Arabidopsis thaliana: one gene and its partner. The protein of the gene in region 1 interacts with the protein of each later gene in a pairwise test. Each region holds a gene or a part of one and is shown on either strand. Other genes may lie near its edges.

Evidence for each region. Proteins that work in one complex are often made in the same cells at the same time.
Region 2: the proteins of AGL94 (region 1) and NAC012 interact in a two-hybrid assay, tested with the Arabidopsis thaliana proteins (one large-scale study listed by BioGRID).

The regions. Positions count from the first base shown.
Region 1 is NC_003070.9:26,144,446-26,149,452, forward strand, and holds AGL94 (AGAMOUS-like 94), read right to left. Parts: upstream 3,307-5,007; 5' UTR 2,885-3,306; intron 2,716-2,884; 5' UTR 2,715-2,715; coding exon 2,530-2,714; intron 2,444-2,529; coding exon 2,387-2,443; intron 2,284-2,386; coding exon 2,265-2,283; intron 2,218-2,264; exon of another isoform or gene 2,174-2,217; coding exon 2,106-2,173; intron 1,990-2,105; coding exon 1,974-1,989; intron 1,897-1,973; coding exon 1,835-1,896; intron 1,749-1,834; coding exon 1,652-1,748; intron 1,571-1,651; coding exon 1,514-1,570; intron 1,433-1,513; coding exon 890-1,432; 3' UTR 870-889; coding exon of another isoform or gene 861-869; 3' UTR 556-860; downstream 1-555. Other genes in the region: AT1G69550 (disease resistance protein (TIR-NBS-LRR class)), read right to left, coding at 4,391-5,007.
Region 2 is NC_003070.9:11,864,717-11,868,843, forward strand, and holds NAC012 (NAC domain containing protein 12), read right to left. Parts: upstream 2,439-4,127; 5' UTR 2,235-2,438; coding exon 2,048-2,234; intron 1,953-2,047; coding exon 1,687-1,952; intron 1,251-1,686; coding exon 627-1,250; 3' UTR 513-626; downstream 1-512. UniProt on the Arabidopsis thaliana protein: Transcriptional activator of genes involved in biosynthesis of secondary walls. Together with NST1, required for the secondary cell wall thickening and lignification of sclerenchymatous fibers and secondary xylem vessels (tracheary elements).

The sequences.
Region 1 (5,007 bases):
CGGGAAAAAATCCAACTGATTTGAAAGAATAAAAAATCAGCCATCAGAATAATAATAAGAAATTAACTATACTATACTGCAAATAGCATGTTGTGACAAAAAGAAAACAAAAAAGAAGAATGACGTGCACGTAGTAGTAACAGTAATCACGAGTGATACAGAATAACCGAAGCCATGTGCTTTTCTGACAATATTTTGTTCTAACTACCCACATGAGTACCTATGGGTCCCCGCAGACTCGAAACGCTAACCAACATATTTCACATCGTCCATTTTCTCAACGGGCCTTATTTAGCCCATTCTCTCATTTTAAGCATTCACTGAGCACTCTTCCTTTATGAGATTCAACAACTCCAAACTATTATCGGGAAATTGCATGAACACTTTCGAAATGACTATTCAGTTTTCTCTGTTTACTACTCTTCTATCATTTGATGGGGACAAAATGAATACTTCATCAGTTCATCTTAAATATTACTTTTCTTCAAATTATAATAAACTCTTGATGTGGTGGTTGCAGTGTAGTTAAGGATTTGGAAACTGCAAATCAAAATTTTTCTAGCCAACTCATATTATGTTATTTTATAGATGCGTAAGCAGAGGTAAACGCATTTATTTACATCTCTCGTTCACAGCTTAGACTTGTATTATAAATAGTATATAACCGAGAAACAATACTTTGCTTACGCTTTTTGGAGATGACTCTCGAGTTACAAGTAACTTAAAATAGTATCATCTAGTGTAGTATGTGTCCATGTAACCTATCAATCCTAGCTTCTTCGGCATTTATGACTCGTTGATACAAAGACAAGGCGCGTTTTCGGATCAATGCGTCTTATGTTTTTTTCCGGAGCTACTTGTCAGTTTGGCTGTTGCATATTAGATATGTTCAGAAACAGTCAGCAAAACAAGACCAGTAATAACAGAGTTTTGAAAACAAATGAATGATGAACAAACCGTTATTTACCCAAAAATATAGAGGATCATCGAAGACCGCAACATAAGGTAATGTTTCAGAAGAAGCGCCGTTGTTTTTTCCTCCAATCTGAGGCTTATAAGAAGCTTCCAAGATCTGGCTAACGTAGTAATCCGCAGGACTGCCTAATAGATTCCACTCAGCTAGTTGCTTAAGCTTTTGATCATTTAAGAAACTGAGATTGCTGAATTGTTGGTTCGGATCAGCCGATGTCCCGGGAATGCTACCGGTTTCTAGTTTTTGTAAGATATCTGAGCTTTTACTAAAGAGTCCTGAGTAATTTCCAAGAGCTGAACTTGCAGAACACGTTATGTCCTTGTACATGTGATGAAGCTGCAGATTAGGGTCTTCTTCTTCTATAGGAACATTCATGTTTTCATCGGTACGAACCCATGAGAAATTCTCAAGTTGTTGCTCCATCTCCATTCCGAAATCTATATCTATTTCAGTCTGCAACTGCATAAACACAATGTTTTGGCTCTATGTTTATACATATCTCAAAACATCTTTATAATGTCCAGAGTGATGAATCCTTACCTGGTTTTTGCATTGTGAGGACATAAGTTGTTGCTGCTGACGTTGCGGCATGCTCGCCTATAAGTCGTAATAAGATGCATAAGTTTTGTTAAATGAGACCTTAACTCATTATTTGATTATTTGGGAGGAAGATCATACCTTACGACCATAGATTTGAGCCAGAGATTGTCTTAGTGAATGTTCTAGTTGCTGCAAAACATCTACGCTGTCGATATTATCTACATCGGTCCAGTAGCTATCTCAAAAAACCATGTAACTCACAAATTAGAATACCAAAACCAAAAGGAAGATTTAACTGAAGTAGATAGAAGATATTTGCACCTTAGTCGTGTGTGTATATCTGATAATTGTGTTTGCAGAAACCTGATTTTTTCGCTAAGCACCTGAAAATTCCCGTGTCGCGAAACGAATTAGAAGATACTTCAGAATCATTTATTAACATCATAGTAGTTGTACATACCTCAACTGTTGGTGTACTGTAAAAGAAAACAAAAACGAGTCACATTAGTAGTAATACACAACAACACTAAACAAGAACAAACAGAGAAAGAGTTCAGAAAGAATCTCATATTCTTGATATAATATAACACACCTAATTCTGTCTAGAAACTTTGATATATCTATATCGTGGTTAGCTTTCATGAAAGTTTTCCTCAAGGCCTAAGATATTATGAAAAAGAAATAGTATTAATGATAGTTTAGGAGATGAGAAGAGAAGAGAGACTAAACAGAGCCAAGAACCACTACTTACTTCAAGGTTTTCCAACTTCCTGTTCAAACGTAGACAAAAATCGAAGAAGTTATATGTTCAGTGTAATGTCAACGCAGAAAGATTCTAGATCCTAGAAATGTGTAAAAGTGAAGAGAAGAAACCTCTTTGCTCTTTCTTGAGGAGAGAGTTGAGCAAACTTAGCAATGACTTCTCCAATGCTAAACAAAACCCAAAAAACAGAACATCAAACTAAACAGAACAATGTGAAAGATACTTTGGTATTAAAAAAAAAGTGTGATCAGACCTGTGTTTGCCTATGCAAATTGAAGCCTTTCCCATGGGAGAAAACATGAGAAGCACAACATCTATGTCGCATAAGATCGATAACTCCTTAGCCTTTTTCATAATCCCATGTCTCCTTTTCGTATACGTACATTGACGTCCATTCATGTTCTGTAGTTTCTTTATCTTTAGCTTCACTCTACCCATCCTGCATAACTTATGACCCACTCATATGAACAAAGAGAATACAACACACATTTTGAAACTAACAATGAGCAACACCAAGAATCAATGGAATAGCAAACGATACCCACTTGGCCACTTCAAAGATTCATACTTTTGTCAATAAAATCCCCAAGAAGGAAGAGAAAACTTACCTAATTTAAGACAAAACAAAACTTTCCATGAATCAGATGCTGAACATAAAAACTTTCCTTATGAGGAAGAAAGAAAAAAAGAGAGAAAAGGACAACAAAAAAAAACAGAGCTTTTGGAAACGAAGAGAGATTGTGAAGGAGAGAGAAGAAATAGGTATTGATTGGGAGACCAAAAAAATCGGAAATTAGGGTTGGAAGCTAGAGACTAGGGAATTTGGGATCGTTTCCATTAATTTTCATCTGTTACTTCACAGAACAGAAACAACGACTTACCCGCTTTCTTTTTTTATTGGACCACTCATTTGGGCTAACCACCAAAGTAAATCAGTTACTAGAAGCTACTAACCGACGTTTCACGTGTCAAGCTCATCGGGTTTCGTTTCCTAGGAATGTGGCACTTAGATCTGATGAGGATGGTGCCGTAACGGCGAACTAAGCACCTTACGGTTGAGAATCATACGGTCTACACGTGTTGATTAGTTTTATATAAACCGTTGTTTCTTTTGTTTTATATTTCACGTGTGTTTTTTCTTGAACCATCTATGTTTTGTATAGTACATGCTTATTAGTATGTTTTGATGATTTCAGATATTTGGTAAAAGAGATTTTTAAAAAAGAAAAAAATTGGTTCATACTTTTAGAAAGTGTGATTAGAAACTGGATTTCTATGTTGGTGGGGGATTAATAAGCCTGTATTTGTCAACCAAGAAACTGAATTCGACTTAAACTTTTGTTGATCTCTCACTGTAGAGACATGTTTAATGATTTCGATTTGAACTCCAACGGTTGCAAAACATAAATACAGTATATGGACATAGACAATAAAATCACGTATTATATAGAACCTTCGACGTGAGCGTCCTCTTCCAAGAGTGGGCGTATCCCGTATTCACCTATCTCCCAGTCGTCATTTAAGTTGAATTCGAACTCAAACAAAAGCTCTATGGATTCCACACCTCTTGCTTCAACTTCGAATGTGTACAGAGGCTCTGTTAAAAGTGGATATAGAGTTGGGCTTTTTAAACTATACTTGCGACCACTCTGTTTCTCTACGATGGTAAGATATACGTACCCCCAGTTCTCACAGTCAATTTTGTCACCCTTTCTAACCAGCAAGATCCAATCTCAAGACTTTCTTCTTCTTCTTCCTCTTCTTATTCTTCCATAGAAGCCGCGAACCAAGACCTGATCAGATTCTAAAACAATGTAGAGCAATATCTTCCGACACAAGTCATGGAAAGATCCACTAACAACACAACAACAAAGACCTCGAGCCCTAATAAACCTCCTTACAGAATCCCTTCACATGTTTTCGCAAGAACAACCTCTACAGCTCCAGTTGAATGGAGCATTGTCTCCAATGAATCTCTTTTCAGTATCCATATTGGTAATAATAGCTTCACGTTTCCTCAGCATCCTTCACCAATAACTTCTCTTTTACCATCACCAATAACTGTGTTACAAACATATATACCGTATATGGAAATAGACAATACAATCACGTCATTATATAGAACTTTCGACGTGAGTGTCCTCCTCCAAGAGTGGGCGTATCCCGCATTCACCTATCTCCCATTTTTTCCTGCCGAATTGGAACTTAATGACAAGCTCTACGGATTTCACACCTTTTGCTTCGATTTCGAATGTGTACAGATGCTCAGTTAAAAGTGGATATAGAGTTGGGCTTTCTAAACTATACTTGCGACCACTCTGTTTCTCTAGGACGGTAAGATATACGGACCCCCATTCCTCACAGTCAATTTTGTCACCCTTTCTAACCAGCAAGATGCAAGCTTTAAATCTACAAGATGTACGACAATGCCTCTCATTCAACTTCACTGCCAGAGAACCTCCAGTGGTAGCTCGGTAAGTGAAAAACGCAGGCACTTCTCTACCTGGTAACATCGTGTAGTTACTTGTCGATGTCTGGACGATGATATCTCTCCCTTTTTCATTCAGTTTCCAGCAGTCAATAAATTTGAGCCAAACTTGGGGATTCGGAAAGGAGCAAGCAAGTGTCTCCAAGGACTCACATGATTCTGCAACTAAAACTGATAAGGAATCTGGAAGCTGCGGGAGTGATACCAGCTTCGTGCATTTGTTGAGATCCAATTTCTTGAGAT
Region 2 (4,127 bases), about 14 Mb from region 1:
ATTTGAGATTTGAAATTTATAGAAAAAATAATATTACTATAAATTAACATATACATCATAGTTCTGTCATTAACTCATTATTAATTTAGAAAGTTTTTTATAAAATACGGATTCACCATGTGCGTTTGAACCAAAGTACAAATTTACCGAATATTAACTCTCACTATGGCCTATGGGCTTTATGATTCGCAAATACAAAAGATTTAAGCGATAAACATATATTCTCGTGGTTGTACAAATATGGCAATCTTCGTATCATAATTTGGATTCAAATTCAATAGTGGGCATGTAAGAAATGTAGAATGAAAGATGAGGGATGTGAAAAGTTCTACCATTTAGCTTTTTTTTTTTTTGGACATCTTTTAGCTTTAATAGTCAAAGATAAAGAACTAAATGTAATGACTTCTAAAATAGCTTAGTAAGCAATTGAAAGAGTCGTTATTCAAGTTTTGTATATAATATCATTCTTTAACTTCGTAAATTTTATGATTATAAATATTATAAAAAAATTACCCTCCACCATTAACAAATGTTAAACCCCAAAATCAAGACGTACTATCAATAGAACATGAGACATTTTTTAACAAACTTTATTTTATATTTTGTGTATGTGTATGTATAGATAATCATACAGATAAATGAAGAAGTGGGTCTAAAGACGAAGAAGACTCAGTGAAACTACTCCAAAGATCAACATTATCATCATTATTCCAATGAAGATCCCATCGCTGCATCATAGTATCACCATTTTCTTCTTCTTCATCAAAACTCTTACGATGACACGGATTATGATGACCATTGTTCAATTGCCAAGCTACGAGCCGGTCAAGACTAGCCCAGTTGCTGCAAACCGGTCTTTCGGTTATCTTCTCTTGAACGGGAGAGAAATCGAGTTTGCTTGGAGTCAGGAAACTTTGGTCGACCGGGCTCTCGGATTTAGGTGTCTCAAGACTTGGGAGTTGCATGAATAAGACATCATCTTGATGTTGAGTCGTTGTTTGGCTCTCGGGCATGCAAATGTTAGAACCGGTACGGTCCATGTAGAGAAGAACATGGTCTAAACCGGTAACGTTTTGAGTGTTGTGAAAGGTGGGCCCCTTCTCTTCCTCCGTGTCATCAGGTAAAGAAGATAGAGTGATTTTAGGACAATCGTCAATCTTTTGATAGTTCTTCTTCCTGAACACTCGACATACCACCCAACCTTCTTCGTTATAGCTCATTGGATCTTCTGTAACAACATCAGCATAGCCCTGATAATGGAACACAAATCGATCTTATGAAATGCAATAAGAGATGATTAAATCTTGATGATGTAAAAATGCAACTTTTATTTTGAAACAAAAAAAAAAATCTTTTATGTTGGTTTTTCTTTTGGATATGCAACCATAACTAGTTAACTACGTATTGTTTGTAGAGCCGTGTTAAACTATTTTAAGCCTTGTGAAAAAATCTTTTTATATAAATGTATATATGATGTGTTAATTTCATAAGAAATTATCTTATTGTAACTCAGAGAATCATGTTCGATTACTTTAATTGCAGATGCTAAAAGAAGGCTCTAGTGCGTACTAAATGAACCAAAACCTTTTATAGCATGAAACGAATCTAGCTAATTCTTTGACTATAAGTTTGTAATTTGTTTATTCTAACCTAAACTGCAAATTGATGATTGCTATATATACTTACATTAGACATTGGAGTATCGTCGAGGCGATACTCATGCATGATCCAGTCGGATTTCTGACCGTGAGGAGCTCTTCCTTTGTAGAACACGAGTGTCTTCCTCAGTCCAATTCTCCGGACACAACTGCAGATGATTTTGTCACGTCCGGTAGCTTTCCAGAATCCAGCGACTGTTGCCCGGTTCGTCCTGGTCCCGGTTGGATACTTCTTGTCCTTGTGGCTGAAGAAGTACCAGTCGTTTTGTGGCGTTGAACCGATTCTACATTCCTCTGCATTTGCATACCAAAATGGTTCAAAAATAAAGAACAAAGAAATAGAGAGTTCGTAGAAATGAAAGAGTTTTTTTTCATATTTAGGGTTTAACCTTGAATATCCCAAGGCTCAAGCTTGTTTAGATCAACTTCACGAATGACATCAAGATCGATCTTTTGAGAGTTAACTTTCTTACGGAGATAGTAATGGAGAAGTTCTTCTTCGGTGGGATGGAATCTGAAACCTGGAGGCACTTTTGATTGTCCATTAATCGAAAGATTGACCTTATTATCAGCCATTAACGAAGATAGCAATATATTTTTGGGTTTTTGCTCTAGAAGAGTAGAGAAGTTGTATGATTACGAGTGGAAATGGTTACAACTTAAAAAAAAGAAAGCAAACGATGAGATAATTTATAATGGTGGTAGGACTCGACGAGACATAGCCCCCAAAAGGGGGAAATTGTTATTTAAACAAAGAAGTTCATGCATTAAAGTGTCTTTATGAAATTAGTATAATTTAGTAAACAGATGTTTCTATGTTTAAATCGAGTTTGATCATACGTAAGTTCTGACGTAAGACATATTTCTTTTGACGTGTAATGTCATGTCATGTGTAATGTATAAAACGGAAAAATACTAACGTAAATAAACGGGTTTAGTGGGGGATTAATCTTTGTGTTTTCTTGCAATTACTTATTGCAGAATTTGAATTCCATGTGTTTTGGTCTTTACTAATGTATGTAAATATAAAGTATAGATTTGTTTAGAAGAAAATAAATGTAAATTATTTTCTAATATAGCTACGTATATTAAAATAATTTTCATTAATATATCACACACTCGTTTCATGATCTACGTCATCTACATTCTACCATGTTAATTAGTTATCTATTTTTTCCCATGTTTTTGGTATGTTCATTCCTTTCGATGTATCCTAAAAATACATCAATTTTTTTTTTCTTTTCATAATCTATCATTTTTATTCTAATATCTGGTGTCACCTAATCAAGATAATGTGTGTAACATTAACGAAAGAACTTTCCATGATTTTTTTTCTTCTTTTTGGACGATTTTCGATGTTTAATTGTACTATATTTTTTGGTGTATTTAAGTGACAAAAACGTGATGAAAGTCAAAGAAATTGAAACAAGCGGAGAAGAGCAGGGGACATGCTTTTTGCACAAGTGTGACACTTCATCTTCATTTCATCATTTAATTCACCTCTGCCTTTAGTGCATGTCCAATTAGTGCATGTATATTTCAATCTAGCTATTCATCTTAAATCGGAAATAGTTATTCAGACCATCTTACATAGTAAGTTTGAGTATTCGATGGTTATGCGAATACCAAAAAAAAACTAAAATGAAGGGTAAGGCTATATAGCCATTAATATTTAACCGTAGATATTGAAATAGCTAAAAAGAATAGAGAGTATGAATGTGGGAGTGACAGACTGACATGTTGGAATATCCACTTCCAGCTAAAAAGGTGATAGTTGGATTATGTACACAAATAACTGAATTAATTAGCAATATTTGTTTATGAAAATATATGTATATATTCAACCATTTAACATACATATATGTGTATATATTTTAGTTATGGACTTAATTATTGGAATTAAGCATACTGATATAATATGATTTACAAATAGAGGCTGGAGCAATGACACTTTAATCGTTTTCTTATTATATAATATAAGTATATAACATGTACATAAAAGTTGTTACCCTACATGCACTGTACTTATCATTTGTCTGTTGATGGGATCTTTGTGTTTCAACATTAATAATGATGTTTTGTTTCTCTAAATTCTATGCTTAATCATGCTTTTGGGTACACAATTGATGGATTAACTAATACCACATAATGATTAACCACATTTGACCTCTCATTCTTTCACTTTTTCCATTTCTTTATTCTAGTTTTAATTGAGTTGAGTGTGAAGTTTCACCTCGTAATTTGTTCCCATACTAATATTTTGATATATCATTTCGTCATTCCCTTTTGTTAAATCATGTGTGTCCCATGCTCACATGTATGTTATTAACTGAAAACTAATTTCGAACAAAAATATCACAAAAATTAATTCACATTTGTCATTAAATCGAAATAAGGAGAAATAAATTAAATATTCAAGAGAATGTTAAGGCTTTTACACTAAAGTTGATATATATTGAAACAAGAATA